Mus musculus: one gene and its partners. The protein of the gene in region 3 purifies or fractionates together with the protein of the main gene of each other region. This does not show direct contact. Links are inferred from orthologs where the notes say so. Each region holds a gene or a part of one and is shown on either strand. Other genes may lie near its edges.

Evidence for each region.
Region 1: the proteins of Ppp6r2 (region 3) and Plk1 purify together in Homo sapiens (affinity purification with mass spectrometry; 7 studies listed by BioGRID and IntAct, counting the BioPlex papers as one, with this or other methods). This does not show direct contact. The link is inferred for Mus musculus from reciprocal best matches to the Homo sapiens genes PPP6R2 and PLK1.
Region 2: the proteins of Ppp6r2 (region 3) and Aurka purify together in Homo sapiens (affinity purification with mass spectrometry; 4 studies listed by BioGRID and IntAct, counting the BioPlex papers as one, with this or other methods). This does not show direct contact. The link is inferred for Mus musculus from reciprocal best matches to the Homo sapiens genes PPP6R2 and AURKA.
Region 4: the proteins of Ppp6r2 (region 3) and Ankrd28 purify together in Homo sapiens (co-immunoprecipitation; 4 studies listed by BioGRID and IntAct, counting the BioPlex papers as one, with this or other methods). This does not show direct contact. The link is inferred for Mus musculus from reciprocal best matches to the Homo sapiens genes PPP6R2 and ANKRD28.
Region 5: the proteins of Ppp6r2 (region 3) and Ankrd52 purify together in Homo sapiens (affinity purification with mass spectrometry; 3 studies listed by BioGRID and IntAct, counting the BioPlex papers as one, with this or other methods). This does not show direct contact. The link is inferred for Mus musculus from reciprocal best matches to the Homo sapiens genes PPP6R2 and ANKRD52.

Annotation. Positions count from the first base shown.
Region 1 is NC_000073.6:122,157,932-122,162,234, reverse strand, and holds the start of Plk1 (serine/threonine-protein kinase PLK1), read right to left. Parts: upstream 2,801-4,303; 5' UTR 2,693-2,800; coding exon 2,285-2,692; intron 1,700-2,284; coding exon 1,531-1,699; intron 729-1,530; coding exon 584-728; intron 1-583. UniProt on the Homo sapiens protein: Serine/threonine-protein kinase that performs several important functions throughout M phase of the cell cycle, including the regulation of centrosome maturation and spindle assembly, the removal of cohesins from chromosome arms, the inactivation of anaphase-promoting complex/cyclosome (APC/C) inhibitors, and the regulation of mitotic exit and cytokinesis.
Region 2 is NC_000068.7:172,364,066-172,367,576, forward strand, and holds part of Aurka (aurora kinase A), read right to left. Parts: intron 3,107-3,511; coding exon 2,857-3,106; intron 432-2,856; coding exon 377-431; intron 1-376. UniProt on the Homo sapiens protein: Mitotic serine/threonine kinase that contributes to the regulation of cell cycle progression.
Region 3 is NC_000081.6:89,210,262-89,214,366, forward strand, and holds the start of Ppp6r2 (serine/threonine-protein phosphatase 6 regulatory subunit 2), read left to right. Parts: upstream 1-1,297; 5' UTR 1,298-1,518; intron 1,519-4,105. UniProt on the Homo sapiens protein: Regulatory subunit of protein phosphatase 6 (PP6). May function as a scaffolding PP6 subunit. Involved in the PP6-mediated dephosphorylation of NFKBIE opposing its degradation in response to TNF-alpha.
Region 4 is NC_000080.6:31,743,413-31,746,923, forward strand, and holds part of Ankrd28 (serine/threonine-protein phosphatase 6 regulatory ankyrin repeat subunit A), read right to left. Parts: coding exon 3,501-3,511; intron 1,952-3,500; coding exon 1,809-1,951; intron 24-1,808; coding exon 1-23. UniProt on the Homo sapiens protein: Regulatory subunit of protein phosphatase 6 (PP6) that may be involved in the recognition of phosphoprotein substrates. Involved in the PP6-mediated dephosphorylation of NFKBIE opposing its degradation in response to TNF-alpha.
Region 5 is NC_000076.6:128,375,985-128,379,930, reverse strand, and holds the start of Ankrd52 (serine/threonine-protein phosphatase 6 regulatory ankyrin repeat subunit C), read right to left. Parts: upstream 2,808-3,946; 5' UTR 2,709-2,807; coding exon 2,682-2,708; intron 2,363-2,681; coding exon 2,279-2,362; intron 1,844-2,278; coding exon 1,765-1,843; intron 1,579-1,764; coding exon 1,508-1,578; intron 551-1,507; coding exon 350-550; intron 1-349. UniProt on the Homo sapiens protein: Putative regulatory subunit of protein phosphatase 6 (PP6) that may be involved in the recognition of phosphoprotein substrates.

The DNA of each region.
Region 1 (4,303 bases), on a different chromosome or scaffold from region 3:
GACACAGCAACCAAAGGCTGGGACAAGCCCTCAGAAGGATGCAAGTGACAACACCTGTGTACCAAGGGGCCAGGAATTGACGGCTCTGGCCTACAGTGACCGAGGACTCTCCCAGTGCCCCAGAGGCCACTGCTATCCACCACAGGCCACCGTGGTGGTTCTGCCTATCGCCAGGCTTTCTACTGGCCTAGTTCTCCCTTCAGCACTCAGCAGGACTTCCAATGCTCCATGGAAAGTCAGGCAGGGATTGTATTAAACCCAGGTTCAGATCTGAAATTCTGAATTCCTAACAAGCTCTCAGGTGTTGATGGTTTGGATCTGTGCATACTTTTAGTAAGCACCAAGGGCCAGGAGGAAAAGTTCAGGGACTTTTTGATCCCTTCCCTGGACCAACAAGTCAAGTTACAGGAATCCAACAGCCTACGCCAGACTGATATATGAAAAGCAGGGTTTCATGTGGGACAGCCTGTCCACTAAAACAGCCTTTCTATAAGGTAGAAAGATTCACATGGCAAAGTCAACTGGGTGAGAAGCCTCAGAAAGCCCTGCTGAGGCCCAGGAGCCAAGGCCATTGCCAACTTACATGATGCACCCAATGGACCACACATCCACCTCAAAACTGTGTCCCTTCTTGCTCAGCACCTCAGGAGCTATGTAGTTAGGAGTGCCACACAAGGTCTTCTTTCGTTCCCCTTCATATTCCACTTTGGTTGCCAAGCCAAAATCCCCTGGGACAGAGGAAAGAAGAGAGGGTGCTCAGCTGCTAAGCCCGGGCTGTCTGTGGTTGCAGGCAGCTCTGTTTTGATCCTGAGCATTGAGAACTAGTGGCTTGAGGCCCCAGAGTCCCTGAACCCTTCCACTGTACTGGCCCTAGCCAGCCTCCCACACACCTCTTTAGATAGCAGGGTTACGGTGGTTAAGGTGGCTCAGGAGGTAAAGGGGCTTGCTGCCAAGACTGATAACATGATCTACGTCGATCCTGGGACCCACACAGTGGAAAGAAAGAACTGACTCCTTGAAGTTAGCCTGTCTCCATTCATAAGTAAATGAAATTTAAAATGCACAGGATAGCAGAATTAGATGCACTGGGGAATCAAGTAGATGATCTTCGTGACTGCTGCTGGGCAAGTGTGTGGAGAAGTGACAGGGATCTAGGGACTGGCCAATCAGACTCAAGGGGGCAGGTTTTTCAGCTTAGTAAAGAGACACCTGAGGAGATGCTGCCTGCCATACTCTACAGCGTAAGTCCAGACCTGAAATTGGCTGAGGGTCTGGCTCAGTGCTAGGTTATAGAGAAGCATTTGGGGGAGGGGCCCCAAGTTCAAAACTACTGAGTTGAGGCATAAACACCAATGCATCTAAAAAAAAGGCAAGGAAAGTGTCACACACACACAAACACACACACACACACACACACACACACACACACTTTCCACTTCCTAACTAGAGGGCAGCATCTCTATTTCCTCACCTTCCCCTCCTTGTCCCCTCCTGCCCTGACACCAGACACCCGAAGGCCCAGCACCTCACCTATTTTCACCTCCAGATCCTCGTTCAGGAAGAGGTTGCCCAGCTTGAGGTCCCTGTGAATGACCTGATTGCGGTGCAGGTACTGGCAGCCCAGGACTATCTGTCGCAGGTAGTAGCGGGCCTCAGGCTCGGTCAGTGCCTTCCTCCTCTTGTGCAGCTCCAGGAGGGACTGAGGAGGGAGAAAGAGGTCACTGAAGTCCAAGAAGAGTGGCTAGCTGGATGTGGCTAGGACTAGACGCTCGGAGTGGAGAGTCTTAGCAGGTTTCTGATAGTTCTACCCATACACTGGTTGGTCACTATCATTCACCAGACCCTCTCCTGAGTCTTCTCTCAACCCCACTCTCGACTCCCCTACCCAGGGCTTCCTCCTGGCAGGAGATTCCCTCCCTTTCCTGAAAGCTCTAAAATCTGACTCCAAACAGCCGCCCCCTCCCCCGACCCTGCCCCACTCCGGAAGTTAGAGGTGCGTGGCACACCAAGCCTGGGACCCTTCCTTAGCCACTTTATGAATCCATTTCCTGTACCGACTCGCTGCCTTGCGTCTGGGAGCTCCATCCCTAATAGCAACAGGATCTGGTCTCGGTTTCCCCAGAACCCCGGCCTCAGCAGTTCGGAGTGCCAAGTACCCTCGCTAGAAGCCTTTCCATAAAAGTTTGAAACCCAACCACTCCTCTAGGTCACTCCAAAACCTCGGTGCCCCTTTGTCAGCAAGTTCCAGGTGTGGGAGCCCCAGCACTGCGACTGAAACACTCACCCTCCTGCGACAGAGCTCCAAAACTACAAATACAAAGTCGCTGTCCTCAAAAAAGTCATGGAAGCCTACGACGTGTTGGTGTGCTAGGCTGCGGTGAATTGAGATCTCCATAGACATCTTCTCCTTCTGGTGGGGCTTGAGCAGCAAAGACTTAGGCACGATCTTGCCTGCGAACACCTCTTTTGTGTCTGCGTCTGAGATCTCGAAGCATTTGGCGAAGCCTCCTTTACCCAGAAAGCGCCCCCGTACATACTGCCGCCGGCTGCGTGGGTCCACTAGGACCTCCGGAATTTCTTTCGCCAGCGGGGCGGCCACTGGGGCACCGGGAACTGCATCTCCCGGAACCCCACCTTTCCCGAGGTCGGCTGGTGCTCGAGCCAGCTTTCCAGCTTTGGCCGCTGCATTCATGATGCCGAAGTTGCTCCACGAACCTGGCTGAGTCGGTGCAGAGGGTCCTGCTCTGCTCCGCTCCTCCCCGAATTCAAACGCGGCGCTGGGAACGTTACAAGGGCCTGCGCGTTGCTGATTGGCCGCGGGGATTTAAAATACAAACCCGCCCAGCGCGCGGCACCATGGGAGTGCTCTACGGCGCAGCCGCCTTTAAACTCCGATCTTGCCGGCGAAATTTTTAATGGGCAGGGACTGGAGGACTGCGTTTGCTCAGGATTGCCTGGGAAACCAGGAACGAAGCAACTACGTGAAGATCCCTAGAAGAACAGGATTCTGTCCTGCTTTCTGCTCCTCGGCTGGGGCGTGCTCATGTGGTTCACCTGCGCCTCCTCCAGGGGCTTCTCCTAACTGTTAAGATCTAACACCTTCCTCCACCGGACCCGGCCTTCTAGAACTGAAACTCCAGGCCAACCGGTAGCTTGAGAGTGCACCGCCTCCGCGGTGGACAGCCCTCTCCCCGGCTAGCCTAAATAAACCCAAAACTGAGCAAGCTCAGCAGGCAGATGCACCTTCACGGCGCAACGGACCGATCTCCTCTGTGGCACTAGGGGCTCCCAGCCCCTGAGAAGTAACTCAACCCTTCTCTTGAACAACGCAGGAGGCCAGCAGCATCTGCAGCACCTGGAATTCCCTAAGAAGGCAAAGGAGGGGCGTGGGTTCAGGATTACAAGTTAGCCGAGATCAGCCTCAGCTACCGCTCCACTAACCCCAAAGGAAAGAAACTTCCCAGGCATGACCTGCCGGTCAAACAAGACCTTCAGATGATTCCTATGCCCTGTGATATGTAAGAAACACCGGACGTCTGCCCCGCGATGCAAGGTTACCTGGGTTGTTCCAAGTTGTGTGGCCCAGAGCCCCAAATAGAAAAAATTAATTTTTTAGTCAGAGGTGGGGGGGTAGCTGGTTAGAAGAGTGCTAGCATGCCGGTATACCAAGGCCAAGTCTGCCCTGCCGAAGTGTCCGTTCAGCCTTCACTTAGGAAAAAAAAAAAATGAGCCGGGGCGTAATGGCACACACCTTTAATCCCAGCACTGGGGAGGCAGGCGGATTTCTGAGTTCAAGGCCAGCCTGGTCTACAAAGTGAGTTCCAGGACAGCCAGAGCTATACAGAGAAACCCTGTCTCGAAAAAAAAAAAAAAATGGATTTACAACATGTAAAAAGAGTGGCCACACAGAGCAGGCGTGTGGCTTTTCATAGAAAAAAACGGCCAGCTCTGGTCACTGTTCCCAGACACCCTCTTTGCCCCCCTGCCTATCTGGGCACTTAAGTGATACCTTCCGTTAGAAGCTGTTGTTGCTCTAGTTCCCCCAGGAGGGTCTTAGCAAGATCCAATTGCTGGATTGAGCAAAAAATGGCAGTGCTGCTGTCTTTCCCAGTCTCTGGGTAACGATTGTACTTTCTGAATAAGGCAGAGCTTTGTCTCCAAAAACTTAAGCTTGCCAGGAGTGGGCATGCACCCTCAATCCCAGTGCTGGGGAAAACAGGCAGGCAGGCCTCTGAATTCTAGGCTAGACGCGCACACACATGCGCACACGCTTCTGCGTGTCAGAGAACATGCAGGAGAGTCA
Region 2 (3,511 bases), on a different chromosome or scaffold from region 3:
CTCCCTGCATCCCCAGAGAAGCTAACAGGCTGTGGGTTCGAGAGTCACTCTGGTGGGAAACACAGAGCCACTGTCACTGGTAGGAGCAGGGAAGGGCCAACAGGCCACTCCAAATTACTATCCAAATTGTGTACAAGTTCATGGGATTGTAGCATCTTTGGCAGGTTTTTGGTTTTTTGTTTGGGTTTTTTTTTTTGGTTTGTTTTTACTACTTTTTAAAATAAAGTTTTAACAAAAATCTTCTATGAAAAAGTAATTAAGGAAATAAAAAGAACTACTTTTGAGCCCCTGCTAAGTTTGAGTTTAGTGGGGATGGCATGAAGACAAGTGTCGCACAGCCCGACGGGTGCTCTCGTAGCAGAGACAGCAAGCTTACTTTTTTGTGTCTTCGGTCTTCTGCAAGGATGCCTGCTCCTTTTCAGAATCATTTCCTAGGAAATAAGTTAAATAAAGTTCTTTTAAGCAATTCAGTAAGAAACTAAGAGAAGCCAGATTGAATCCGTCAGCTTGGACAGGAGTTTGAGCCAGGACAGCTGAGTTACACCAACCAATAGAGTTCAGAAAGAGCTAGAACGGTAAGCGTGTTCTGCAGGAGATCTGAGAGGCCAGACAGTCCTAGGCCTAGACTAGATTACACAGAGGCTGGGAGTTTCCAGGCCCAGGCCCAGGTTAGCAGACGGAGTAAGCTTCCCAGACGACAATTACTTCAGGTGAATAAAACTTACTTTCACAATGACCCCAAACAGGACTTGAAACCAGAAGAAGCCACCCAAAATCCACTCCAGCCGAGTGTGTTTCGGATGGTGGAGTGACAGTGGCCCAGCTGAGAGGTGGGTCTGAGGGCAGCACTGGCTTCCTTTGCCTCCATCTGCTCCTCTGCCCTCAGAGCTTGCTGGAGCATCTCTCCCTTGCTGAATGATACTACATAAGCTTCAGCCATCTGCCCCTTCCGGTTTCCTGCTTTGTGACTAGTACATATGCACTCGATTCACATGGGTTTTCTCCAGACTTAGCTGTCTGCCTTGACTCATTTGTACAGACTGTTTTTCTTCATGAGGCCCAGCCTGAGTTCTCTCCCTCCTTACACTGCTACAGCTATCTCCTCCCATCCCATCTTTCAGGTCTTATCACGCACTGGTCTTGCATCTGCTTCCTAAACGAAGTGGCAGGTTTGCCCGTGCCTCTCCTTTCTGGAGTTGTCCTGGGCTAAGTTAACTGCTGCGTTTTAGTCTCTTCTGTGTAACATGCTGTCTACGTGAGTGCCTGCCAGGGCTGGGAGGATGCAGGTCAAGGCAATCCCAGAGGCGCTGTAAGCACCCACCAGCTGCCAAACAATCCCAACATCAGCCCGGTTCTGACACAGCCAAACCCACTACACAGTGAAAGTCCTGGAGCCTGCAACGCTGCTTGACCCACCCAGGCCCAGTAATGCTGAGCCAATGGCTGCAATCGCTGTCCTCTCTCTAACCTTTGAGATTTGGTCTCTGTGTGATTGTGTGGGGTTATGGTTGCCATGTTAGCAGGGACTTTCTGCATTAGGATTCCTTTTGTGTCTTCCTGAAAAAAACTATGTCTGAGTCTTTTGAGGAATCCTAAAATTAACTTTATCTGGTCACTATTTGGAAGTCTTCCTAATGCCCTGGAGATCATTAAGCACAGATAAGTACATAGCTAGATGAGGCCATCACTCCAGGAACCTTCCTGGGCTATCTGCCCCTGAGCAAACTCAAACAGTATAATTGATGCAGGGCAAACAGAGACAACTGACAAACTCTGACTGGGTAGGAGAACAGGCTACGGATTCAACATCTCTTTTTAGTATAGGCTTAGAGGTCTCTAAAAATGAAGTTTAAAAATAGGGAGTCATGCAGGGTACACTCCTAAAGGAATAAAACTCAGTAAATAGACTGACTGAAAGGGGCTTGTCCTACTTTATAGTGTAGATGGTGAAACAGTAAAAGAAGTTGGGCATTAGTATTTGCTCATGAAAAGATGGGTTCAGATATTCTCTGTCTGTCTGGAGTGCTTTCAAACAGCAAACACTGCCATCTTAAAAGTAGGATGTCATATAACAAATGTGTTTGTTTTGGAGGTGACATTCTTTAGAGTCTTTAAATTGAAGTTATAGGTTAATAAGAAGAATCTGCTGGGCAGTGGTGGCGCACACCTTTAATCCCAGCACTTGGGAGGCAGAGGCAGGCGGATTTCTGAGTTCGAAGCCAGCCTGGTCTACAGAGTGAGTTCCAGAACAGCCAGGGCTGCACAGAGAAATCCTATCTCGAAAAACCAAAAAGAAGAAGAAGGAGAAGGAGGAGGAGGAGGAGGAGAGGAGGAAGAGGAGAGGAAGAAGAGGAGGAAAAGGAGGGGGAAGAAGGAGGAGGAGGGGGGATGGGGGAGGAGGTGGTGCTCTGTTTGTATTTTCTAATTATGACTGAACTTGTGAGCCTGGACATGTAATGTAATGAAAAGTCCAACATCCCCCTTACCACCTCACCTGGCTCCCTCCCTCCTCTAGCCAACTCATCTCCTCTGCCAGCTAGCCTGTCAGGAAGGACCCTCCAACTCCCCTCTCCATGCTGGGGAACTCCTCCCTCCCAGGCCCTGGGAACCCAGAAGTCTCTCCATTACATCCAACATTTCCTTCTGCTCCGGGCAGAGGACATCTGCGAGCTTGGCCAGCAATGGTATCTGCATCCCAGCACTGGTGGAGCCCAAACCCAGACACACTGACATGTGTGACATACACCTGAGCATGGAGATCTCATTCTTTCTCTCCTCCTCAACAGACATGGTACAGAGGCTAGGACATCAAGGATAAACGCCAAGCTATGCATTTGAGCACCCAAGACCACTTACCGGAGGCTGCAGGCTGCTCATTCTTCTGGGGGTTATTGAGCCGGGACACAGGCCTAGGAACACTGGCAGCTGGCAACTGCTTTGGTGCCGGCTTCTGACCTGCTCCAAGTTTCTGGGCTTGTGAAGGGACACGCTGGGAGTTAGAAGGACACAGGACCCGCTGGGCCTGGCCACTGCTAGCAGATCCTAGGTTCTGAGACGGAATCTGCTCAGTCACCAAGACGCGTTTCGGACCGAAGGGAACAGTGGTCTGAGATGGAGAGAAGACAGGCGTTATGGCTTCAGGAAAGGCTGCTGCTACCCCAAGAACCAAGTGTCCTTTGCAGTCTAACAAAACCCCTAATATCTTGTATGACAAATGGGAATGGGGGGCAGAGAGAGGACTGAGCAGTCAAGAGCACTGCCTGCCCTCTCAGAGGCTCTGGCTCCCATTCCCAGCATCCACGCGGTGACTCACAACCACCTATAACTCCAGAGCCAGATCTGACCCTCTCTTCTGGCTACATGCAGGCAAACATTCATCCACAAAAGATATAAATATATAAACAACTCTTTAATAAGTAAAGTAAAGGGGAGGCGGCTGAAGCTGCCTTATTGTGCACGCGCCCTAAGGGAGGACTCGACCGACTCAAACCCCGCTTCCTTAACCACTCGC
Region 3 (4,105 bases):
ACCGGGGAAGAAAACAAAACAAAAAAAATCGATTTCCTTTCCTCCAACAGTGTCTCTTTGGCGCCCTCTGCTGAGAAAAGGGGGAAACACAGCAGCACCACTTCAAAGAAAAAAAAAATCTTGGAAGGGCCCAGAAATGTCTCCCCCTTAGACATTTTTACACTCTGTAGTCCTAGCTGACCCGGAACTCGCTGAGTAGAGTAGAGTAGGCGAGTCTCGAACTGGCAGAGATCCCCCCTGCCTCTGGTATTAAAGATGTGCGCCAGTATGTTTTGCTTGCCTGAAACTCCTCCTGCTTTGGTCTCCCAAGTGCAACCACCCACGCCGGCTTATACTTTCGCACAGCGGTAGTGAACTTGCCACTGAGAGTGAGTGAGTTCATAGCTAGCATGTGTTGACACATTCCTTACATGTTTCTTTTTTTTTTTTTTTGATATTTTCCCATGGCTCACACTGCCACCGGAAATCAGTCTCATTTTAGAGATTAATTTAATTTGAACTCATTTCAACCCATGTTAGATGGCCACGTATGTGACGTACACAAGCCCTGGACAACAAGGATCGGTATCCAAGAAAAGAAAAAAAAAAAACAAAACAAAACGAAACTAAACAACAAAACAAAACAAAACAAAACGGCTTTGATCTCAACACAGAGGCAGAGGCAGAGAGACAGGAGAATCTCTTGTGAGTTCGAGGCCAGCCTGGTGTACAAAGCAAGTCCGGGACAGCCAGGGCTCTGTTACACTGAGAAACCCTATCTCGAAAAACCAAAAAAAAAAAAAAAAAAAAAAAAAAAGGTAAAAAGGGCTAGCTCAGCGGTTAAGAGCACTGACTGCTCTTCCAAAGGTCCTGAGTTCAAATCCCAGCCACCACATGATGGCTCACAGCCATCCGCAGTGAAATCTGATGCCCTCTTCTGGTGCATCTGAAGACAGCTACAGTGTACTTACATTAAATAAATAAATAAATAAGGAAAAAAAAAACCAAAAAAACAAACAAACCAAGTAGATCAGCGGACAGTCCAGTTCAGAAACAGGACGTAGCGGAGACGAGCGCGCGCACCGCTCTGGGGACTTGAAGGTGCCCAGAGGATTTATTTAGCACAGCCAGCTCGATCACGGGGACGCCTCAGGACGTTCCCCCAGCGCGACTCCACCAGACAGACCCTGGACCGCGGCCGCCACTCTGTGCCTCCTCCGGTGGCCCCGCCCCCGGGGCGCGCCCCCGCCCCTCCCCCGTCCGCGCGCTCGCCCGCCGGCCCGCTCGCTCGCTCGCGCGCGCCCCCGCCGCCGCCGCCGCCATTTTGGAGCGATCTCGCCCGCGGCCCCGAGCCGGTCCCGAGCGGGTCCCGAGCCTCCCGCCGGCTGCGCCCGAGTCCGAAGGCGCCGCGCCGCGGGGTCGGGCCCATGTGCGTGCGGCCCGCTCCAGGCCGTCCGCACTTCACCTCTGCGAGCGTCCTGGCCTCGCTTGGGCCTCCCTCGGAGGAGGAGTCGCTGCGACCCCCAGCCTGCTGGGCAGGTGAGTGCGGCCGCGCGCCCACCGCTTCCTGCGGCCCGGGGACAGGAGGGACACCCCCACCCCCCACCGCCTTCGGGCCGTCAGCGTCCTGCTGTCACTCAGCTTGTGCGGTCAGCGCCCTGTCAGTAGAGCAGCGCCTTTGTCACCCTGCGCTTCGTCAGGGGGTCAGCGCCTCCATCAGTCTGCTTCCCGGTCAGCCAGCACTCTCCACTGCCGTCATTCATTCATCCATCCATCCATCCATCCATCCATCCCTTCCCTTCCCTCAGCGCTCACCCTTCTTGACAGTCAACATCCCTTTTAGCTACTATCCCAGCTCCTGGCCTGTCAGTGGTCAGTTTTTCCCCACTCTCAGAATTAGTCTCAGCCTCTTAGTGGCCGCCTGGTTCTCTCCCTCCCAGTTGTCCACCTCTGCTCCTATCAAGGTCCCTCACCTCTGTCGGTGGCTGTAGAGGTGGGGCGGACCTTGGATACAGGGCCTGGGGAGTTGTCAGTGTTCCCTATCTCATCTTTGGGTTTTTTTTTTTTTTCCACCCTCCTCATCAGGGGCCCCGCTGGTGGTGACCTTTCCACCTATCAAGCGTTCCCTCCCCGCTCGCTCATCTCCTCCTACCAGTGCCCACTGCCAAGCGCTCGCTTTGTTATTGTCCTTTATTTCCATCCCATTCCTCTTCCGGGTCGTTCCCCAGTTGTCATCATCACCCACTGTCTTTCTCCCACTCCCCCCCCCCCCCCATCATCTTTTGCTTCTCCCATGCGCCTCTTCTTTCTGGAACTTCTTCACCTGCTACTTTGTATCCTCACAGCTGACTACTCACTTAGTGAAGGCTGTTTCCAATCTATTACGGAGCTCTTGCTGTTCGCTATCAGCTCTCAGTCCAGTCACTTTCCCCAATTCTCGCTTTCTGCTGTAGCCCCTCCCCGCAATTTGTCACCATCCTCAACCATGTCCCTAGGCCTTATTCCAGACAGGTTTTCAGGTTTTCACTGACACCTTCATCTGTGTCCTACCTGACAATGCTGCTTGCTGGCTTCTTACCATCTCATTCCATTCCCTATCCCCCCCCCCCCCTTTCCGGGACTGTTTTACTGTGTAGCCATAGATGTCCTGGAACTCTGGCCTTAAACTCCATAGAGATCCGCCTGCCTCTGCCTCCCTAGTGCTGGTATCAAAGGCGAGGGCTACTGTCACCCAGCTTCAGTCCTCATTCTTATCTCTTCACGCCTCTCTCCCTTTCTGTTTTTCTGAGACAGGGTCTTGCTATGGAGTCTTGGCTATCTATGTAGAGCAAGCTGGACTGAAACTCAGAGATTTGCCTACCTTTGCCTGGGATTAAAAGTTTTCCCAACCAAGTCTGATGTGTTCATCTCTTGATGTTCTTATGTTCTGGGTCAGCCCTTTGACCTCTCTGGTTCTCATGTGAGCTAAATAAGCTCTTGGAGGCAAAAAAGAGGCTATCGCCGGGCAGTGGTGGCGCACGCCTTTAATCCCAGCACTTGGGAGGCAGAGGCAGGCGGATTTCTGAGTTCGAGGCCAGCCTGGTCTACAAAGTGAGTTCCAGGACAGCCAGAGCTATACAGAGAAACCCTGTCTCGAAAAACAAACAAACAAACAAACAAAAAAAAAAAAAAAAAAAAAAAAAGAGGCTATCTTTTGTTTGTTTTTTTTCTAGACAGGGTTTCTTTGCGTAGTCCTGGCTGTCCTAGAACTAGCTCTGTAGACCTAGACCAGGCTGGCCTCAGACTCACAGAGATCCACCTGGCCTCTGCCTCCCAACTGATGGGATTAAAGTATGCTACCATTGCCCAGTAAGAAATTAGCTTTAAGGAGGAGGGTGGGAGAGCAGGCCAGAGCCTTTCAACACGGACATCGGGAGGAGATGGAAAGGGCCCAGATCTCTTGCAGGAACTAGATAATATTGGTGTGTCTAGGTTGGCTGAGAATGTTTGTCTTCTAGTCAGCCTTACAGCTTGAGGGGGGTGGGGGGTGAGGGGGGTGGTTCTAGGCTGGAGATTGAGTTGTGGGGCATTATGACTATCTGGATAGGAGGGGGTGTTGTGGTTCAAACCTCAGTAGTTAATTTAGGGAGGTATTTTGGAGGAAAAGCTGTTGAAGCTTCTTAGAGCCGTAAGTAACAATTGAAGAGGGGTATGAGAGAGTGAGAGAGCTCAGAGAGAGTCCCAGACTTCTCGGTAGAAGTGAAATGGCTGGGTAGTAGCATCGTCTAATTAAATGGAGAAGCTGGGTTGAGGCAGTGATAGATATGAGGGAATGGTTACATGTTAGAGAGAGCAAGCAAGGTTTTCCTTCGGCTGAGACTAGTGGGAAACTTCTAAGAAGCCCAGGGGCCATTAGGGAGAATGTATCTAACCGACAGATGTGAAACAGGAGAGGTTAGGCTGAACATACAATTTTGAGCAGGGAGATAATATTTAAAGCGTTGGGAATAGCTCTTTACTTAGTGCACATGATAAATGTGCTGAGTATTTCTTGTGTGCCATTGCATTTAGTATTGATTGATTCATTTATTTATTTGGAGACAAGGTCTCTCTCTGTAGCCTCAGCTGTTCTGGAACTTGCTATATA
Region 4 (3,511 bases), on a different chromosome or scaffold from region 3:
CCATAGGCATTTGGTTCATTCATCTAGAGGAAAAAATGGGAATGGGAATTCTATTACTACTATAAGCTACTTTAAATTACTAGTAATAGAAAAAGGGATAAATACAGACATGAGGTTTATAATGCTAAAGTTGTTTTACAATAATAGACCTAACAATAAGCAACTTAGTTTTATATGGGCTACATACACTTAGAGAATGTGCTTCATAATACAATGTTAAATTCTTCCACAAGAGTTATTTTAAGAAAAGAAAAATAATGGATTTTCAAAAGTCTTTGAGCTAAGAGAGAATTCACTATAAATGGTGATTGGAGGCAAGCATACCTCGGTCATCTATTTCAGAGGGCCACTAAAGCCATTATGCTAATTGGTTGAAAGAGAGCTACAAGAACTGTTAGCAAACTGAAACTTGAAGCCATCTTGTACTTCTCGGGGTCCCATTCAACAATATGTTTGGGTGTTTTGCAACTTCTTCTAATTCCCACATTTTCCATGTATTCCTTGTTTTCAGTAAAGTGTTTCTCATAGTCCTGTCATGTCTTGTCTAACTAGAATCACAAGCTTTTTGACAGCTTTTGCAATTAAGACCTTATAGTCTTCCTCTCTTTGTTCTCTCCTTTCTCCTTATCTACTGCTTTGAAAAATTGGTAAGCTTAACTCACATGTTCCTACAATAAGAGTAAATAACATTAGAGCAGGGAGAGTGGCACACACCTATTATGCAAGCACTTGCAAATTGAGACAGAAGGATTCCAAATTTGAGGCCAACTTGGGCTATACAATGAGACTGTCCCCCAAACCAAAAGAGTAAATCTATTACAAGTGGGAGTAAAGGACATGTTTTTAAAATGATACATAAAAGCTAGATGGATTTTTATTTAGGCATCAAATATATACCAAGAGATTAGTATCCCTTCCTAGCCAAAAAGAATGGTAGTACTATACAGTGCTTATATAGTGTTTATAGTACACACACACATTTTTATTTATATATACGTATAATAAATACATCTTTTGTTGTCTTCCTCTCTTGCATTTGCCAGTATCCCATTATTCTATAGTCACTTAAAGTAAAGTTAGACTTACTGGCTCAGAAAACTGACAATAACACAGCTACCTAGTCAACATGTATCTGATCTGCTAGCACCCAGAGAACTGGAAGAAACAGAGCTACAGGAACTAAAAAAAGAAACTTTGGGTAAATCACTCATCTTTGGAATAGGTTTTAACTCTTTACATAGTTTGTCTAATTATACTGGCTAATTTTATGTCACCTTGACACAATCAAGAGTCATCTTAGAGGAAGGAACCTCAATTGAGAAACTGCCTCCATAAAACTGGGCTATATACAAATCTATAGTTCATTTTTTTTAATTGATGATTGATGACAGGGCCCAGCCCATTGTGAGTGATGTCATCCCTGGGATGGTCATCCAGGGTTTAAGAGAAAGTGAGATGAGCAAGCTATGTATGAGCAAGCCAGTAAGCAGTACTCCTCCATGGCTTCTGGACCAGTTCCTGCCTCCAGGATCCTGTTCTGACTTCCTTTGGTGATGGAAGTGACATGGAAGCATAAGCTGAATGAACTCCCTTCTCCCCAGGTTGCTGTTGGTCATGGTGTTTCATCACAGGATGGCAATCCTCACTAGATACATGTACTGATCATAGCAGTATACTAGCTAGTGAAGAGTTAGAAAGACTTGGTAAGAGGACAAAGATATTACTGTTATCTTTCAAACCTAAGTTCTGATAACAGAATAACAAAACACAGAATACATGAATTTATACTGCTCAAGCTATATACCTACATCAACTCCAAGATCTAGAAGATATTTGACTACACTGATCATTCCACTAGAGGCTGCTGCATGAAGAGGTGTGTAAGACTTCTTATCCTTACATGTCACTTCAGCTCCATGAGATACAAGTAATTTTACTACTTCAATGTGACCTAAAAATACATAAAACAAACAACAACAAAAAAAAACCAAAGAAACAAGCAAAAAACCATTAGCACATAGAAATTATTAAATATAAAATAGCACATTAATTTTCTAATGCATAATGAATTCAAGACGAATTCAGATTATTTTTGAAAAATATTGGTAGAGAGAATAACTAAAAACAATACAATTTACTTCTAGTGTTAACCTTGACTAGATCTTGTTCCTCTATCTCAAGGTCATTTAACATCTCCTTCTTTCCCTTTTACCTTGTGATGATGTGCTCTGTCAGGTCATGGCATGACACAGCAAGAAGGGAGGTACTGACCAGATGACAGAACCCTCACTTGGACTGCCAAAGCTCCAAAATTTGAAAGAAATGAAATTCTGCTCAGAATAAATTACCTAAGTTTGGGTATTCTGTTATAGCAACACAAGGTAGATCAAGCATGTACTGCTATCTTCAAAGCATAGAATACCCTTTTAATCATAATCATCTATACCGAGGACAAGCAATCCATGCTAAGGCCCAGACTGAGGACCACATACTTAACTATTTCAGAAGCTCAACTTCAAACAATATTATTCTGGCTTTCATTTCATGAAAGTCTGTTATGTCAAACCTAATTCCTTCCAAGTGAAAGGCCAACTATACTCCACTTACTGTGCATATACCTTTTAAACACAGAATGTGTTGTTTAAAATCATATACACTGTTTCTAAACTGCCCCGATCATTAGCCTACAACAGATTACTCAGGAAAGTCTTCAGAGACGTAAGGATGTAAGATTGCACACAGAGTGAAAGACTTCAGGATGAAACCCCTCCTGGCATTTTACCTTCAATTAACAAGAAAGATTTTCCTTATATAAGAAGAGGCACTTATTTTTGGCACTAAACATCACATTTTCGGATTTTGGCCATCAAAATAGGATATGTGACTAAAATGGTATCCTTAGGGGTGGAAGTGCGCACTTCTAATGCCAGTGCTGGGGAGCTGGGAACAAGTAGGTCTCTTGGACTCGTTAGCTAGTCTGTCTAATACAATCCTAGGTCCTAGTCAGAGGCCATGACTCAGAAAATAAGGTGAAGAATTCCTGAGGAATGATACTGTGCATCTGTGAAAACACACACACTGCTTATAATAATAGGGTTTAGTTTTTTCAGAGACAGAGATTGAACTCAAGGCCTTGTGCATACAAAGCAAACACAGCAACGCTTCAGCTTTACCTCCAGTTTAGTAAAATGCAACTTCTCAATGCATCTTCACAACTCATACTTTAATCATCCAGTAAAAGAGGAATGGATATGTGAATGAGCTTTCAGTAAACACTCACTGCAAGTTAACCATTCCAGGCCACCATCTGCGATGCCTCTTCTAAATTTCTATAAACTAGATCTAGTGCACTGCTGCAGCACGTCTCCTCTACCTGGTCTGCTTGGGCAGCAATCTCAGATACTGCATAACTCAGTTATATAAAAATACAGAAATGCAAAAACCAAAATGCATTAATTCCCCTAAATACACAGTCAAAAGCAAATTTAAAAGGTACATACCCATATATGCT
Region 5 (3,946 bases), on a different chromosome or scaffold from region 3:
AATATAAAATAAATCAATAAAAACTCAATATAAGCTGTGGATGCTAGCGTACCTTTAACCTGAGCACTCAGAAAGCAGAGGCAGGGGGATCTCAGTGAGTTCAAGTTCAAGGCTGTCTACATAGCAAGCTCCAGGCCAGACAAGCATGCATAGTGAGACTCTATCTCAAAAACAAACATCCCCCCCCCCCCAACAAAACCCTCTGGTTAACACAATCATTCCTCTGGGGCAGGGCCCCAGTATCTAAATAACTATCTGAGCCACTCCTGCCCATTGGGTCTGGAAGCACGTAAGTTATGGGTGAGAAGGAACAGAGAGAAGACTGTGTCTAGACTGCAATGCTCCTCACCTCAAGATGCCCACTGTGTACTGCATGGTGTAGAGCGCTGCGCCCGCTCCTGTCAGCCACATTGAGACTGCTCAACAGGGGTGCCAGAGCCTCTGCACACTTGGTGGCCCGGTTGGCAGCAGCCACATGCAGTGGTGTCTGCCACAGCTTGTCCCGGGCATTCACATCCGCTGAGTGTGCCAACAGCAGCCCCAGCACCTTCTGTGGTGGAGCAAGGGACAAGAGAAGACAGAGGGGAGCAGGAAGTGACATAAGAGGACAGAAGGAAGGGGCTGGTATGGTGACTAGTCATCCATCTTCCTAGCATGGTATCTCTTCCTTTCCTTTACACACCTAGCCTCTCCAGACCTGAGGTTGTTGGAGCTTAAACATCTTTGTTTTGCTGAGGAAAACAGGGATCTCTTCCCCATGCCACTTAGCATCTACCACCCTCCAACTTAGGTCCCCGAAAATCTCCACTCACACCCACCCTGGGCAAATCCACACACCCCAAGCCTAATTCCAGGAAAAACAAATGGCTCCCACTGTATTAATGGCAAAAACATCCTTTCCCTTAGCCCTTCCACAGACACCAAAATCATATAACCCCAATAAACAAGCATAACTGGATCCCCTTCGAAATTCAATGTTCCCGTTAAACATGTCCCACACCATTCCCACTGGCCTTAAGCTCTCTCCCCCTGGGAGCTGGAGCCAAGGAAGTGATGGGAGATCAAAGAGGCCTTCCCTTCCTCTTCAGGGTTGATAACACCATTGTACAGGACTCCATATGAGTTTGGGCCCTTAGGCAGTCAACTTAAATGTTGCTCGAGGGGCAAGGACACAGAATTGCTACTCCCCACCCCATCACAAGGAGAGAAATCTCAGTGCCCAGAGGGGGATCAGACTTAAGGTGGCCCCCAGGGAGGGATGAGTCACTCAGGCCTGGCAGCAGGGCCCCCGCAGTCTGCCAGCCCAGTGTTAAGCTCTCTCCCTGACGTCACATCAGCTGGCAGCACTCAGCCCCCCCCCCCCCAGCCAGTTCTAGGGGCAGGAAGGAGAAGCCAAACTCTGGTCTCCTCCCTGTGTGGGGCAGAAGAGTCTGTAGGGCAGAGAACTGAGTTTCTCTAGCCCTCAGCCCATCCTTTTTGAAAGGGAGAAATGAGGTAGGGTCTGTACCTCGTTTCGGGAGGCAGCGGCACGATGAAGAGGGGTCAGCCACAGTGTGTCCTTAGCGTTGACGTTAGCACCTGTGTGGACACAATTTGCTATTTTGTTGGGATTTGAGGAGGGGGAGGGAAGGAAACCAATAATCAGAGTGGGGAACCTGAACGGACAGAAAGCCATTCTTGTACCAAGCACCAGCAATCAATCCTCGGATCTAAAAAGACTTCTCCCCTCCCTAGATGCCGCACCTCCCAGCTCCCCACTTTCACCTGACATCAGTAGCAACTGGAGGATGGGGACATCGCCTACGTAGGCAGCAGCATGCAATGGGGTTCGCCTCTCTTGGTCCTGGAAAGGCAGAAAAGAGAAGCAGCTGTAGAGAGAAATTATCCTGAACGCCAGTTCTAGTATGAGAACTCCAAGCCCTTCCCTTCCTCTAGGTTCTTCTGCAGGGTCTTAAATCCCAATATCGGGCTTCAAAAGCCAGCATCCTGGGAGGGTGGAGTCAGGGCTACCGACCAAGAAACCTACTCCTTCCCGGAGGGGTGGGGGCGCTGCAGACCCCGATGGTTGAGAAGGGGACAGGGTTTTCTGGGCATCCCCAGAACCCATGATCGGTGCTCCATGCCTGACCAACCTTAAATGCGGAGCAGGCTCCCATTTCTGGGTAGAAAGAGCTGCAGTTTCATCAGAGCAGAGGAGAAACGGAGCCGCCCCACTTGTGGGGAGGGGTCCCGAACCCCTCCGGATTCCGGCTCGCCATCCTCCCTGCTCCCAACTCACCAGTACATTGATGTTCTCCTTCTGCGAGAGGAGGGAACGCACTTCCTCCACATCTCGGCTAAAGATGGCCTGGACCAGGGGCGGCTGCAGGGAGAACCAGCTTTCAGGGAGCGGGCCCGAGCCACGGCGTTACCAGGAGGTGGGGGAGCACACAGGTTGGAGGGGGGCGTCGCTGGAGGGGCTCCGCTACAGGGGTCCTGGCTGCAGCGGATTCCCGCCGTGCCCCCACCGGTCGCCAGGCCCCCAAGGACACCCGCTCCACGGAGTGGAGCACGGCGTGGGGCGCGGCGGGAGCCGCGGGAACCCCGGGCTCGGGCCCAGCCTAGGCCGCACATCCCCGGGCTCGCGTGGCGGCGGTGCCGGGGCCTGGGAAGAGGAAGTGGGGAAGGGTGGGAGGGCTGACCTGGTCCGTGATGCTGAGGATCCCCATGGCCCGGCCCAGGCTCCGTCCGCATCGAGCTCGCGGCAGCGGCGGCAGCGGCGGCGGCGGCTCCACCGGGGACACGGGGCGGCCCAGGCGGCGGCTGCGGCGGCGGCTGCGGGGAGAGGGCGGCCCCGCCTACCGGGGGGCGGGCGAGCGGGAGCCCGCAGCGCTCCCTGGCGGCGAGCCTTGGCCGGGCCTCGGGGTGCTCGCTGTCCGCGCAGGCTGCCCAGGCCTCGGCGCCCTCGCCCCGCGCCAGGACGGCCAGGGCGGCCCGGGCTCCCCCTACCCCGCGCGCGGGTTCCGCAGCTCCGCCAGCGGACCGCGCTGTGCCCTCCGTTGCAGTCGGGCGGCCCGAGGGGTCTCTCGCAGGCCCATGGCACGGAGTCGGGTCTCGCTCCCCCAGTGACTCCCGAGCCCAGGACCAAACAGCGGGCGAGAGCTCACCCAGCCCACAATGCTCCGGTAGAGCGGACGCCTCCGACCGTACTCACACCCCCAAGTACCCCAGAGATAGTGGAAACTCGGAGTGTGGCGACCCGAGACTTATAGATGGCCCCAGAACCAGTCTCCACTGGGTAGAAAGAAAATAGCAAGATTGCTAAGCTGCAGAAAAATCTCAAAAGACTCCTGCTTCAGGAAGCCTCCGTGAAGAGCTGGACACTTGGCAGCTGAAGAAAGGCCTCTAAGCCCAACAGCAACTCCATAATTACCCTGCCAGATTAGGGTAGTAACTGTTTCTCCCGGTAAAAAGGCAGTAGAGAGGAACTCCCCCTCACCCATTGGAGAGGTCAAAAGAGGCAGCCAATCAGGGACAGTTGGCCGAGGGAGAAAGAAAAGTGGAGACTGATAGATGGGTACAATTTATAAAAGATGCTTTAGAGCCAGGTGTGAATCATTTATAAGATTCCTGCGCTCTGGAACCTGAAGCAGGAGGATTGTGTATTCAAGAACTGTCCTGGCTACATCATGAGCCCCAGTTCCTTTGTGTTGCTACGATAACAATGACCAAACCAACTAAAAGAAGGAAAGGGTTTAGTCCATCTTTGAGAAAACTTAGGGCAGAAACTCAGACTTGAACTTGAACGAAGAACCCAGGGAGGAATGAACCCAGGCTCAAGCTTAACCAGATCTCTTATCTAATTTAGGGCCACCTGACTAGGGATGGTACTACCCACAGTGGACCGGGTCTGCCTATATCCATTAGCCAACAAGAAAGTGTTGGGCCTGGGCAGGTGGTTCAGCTA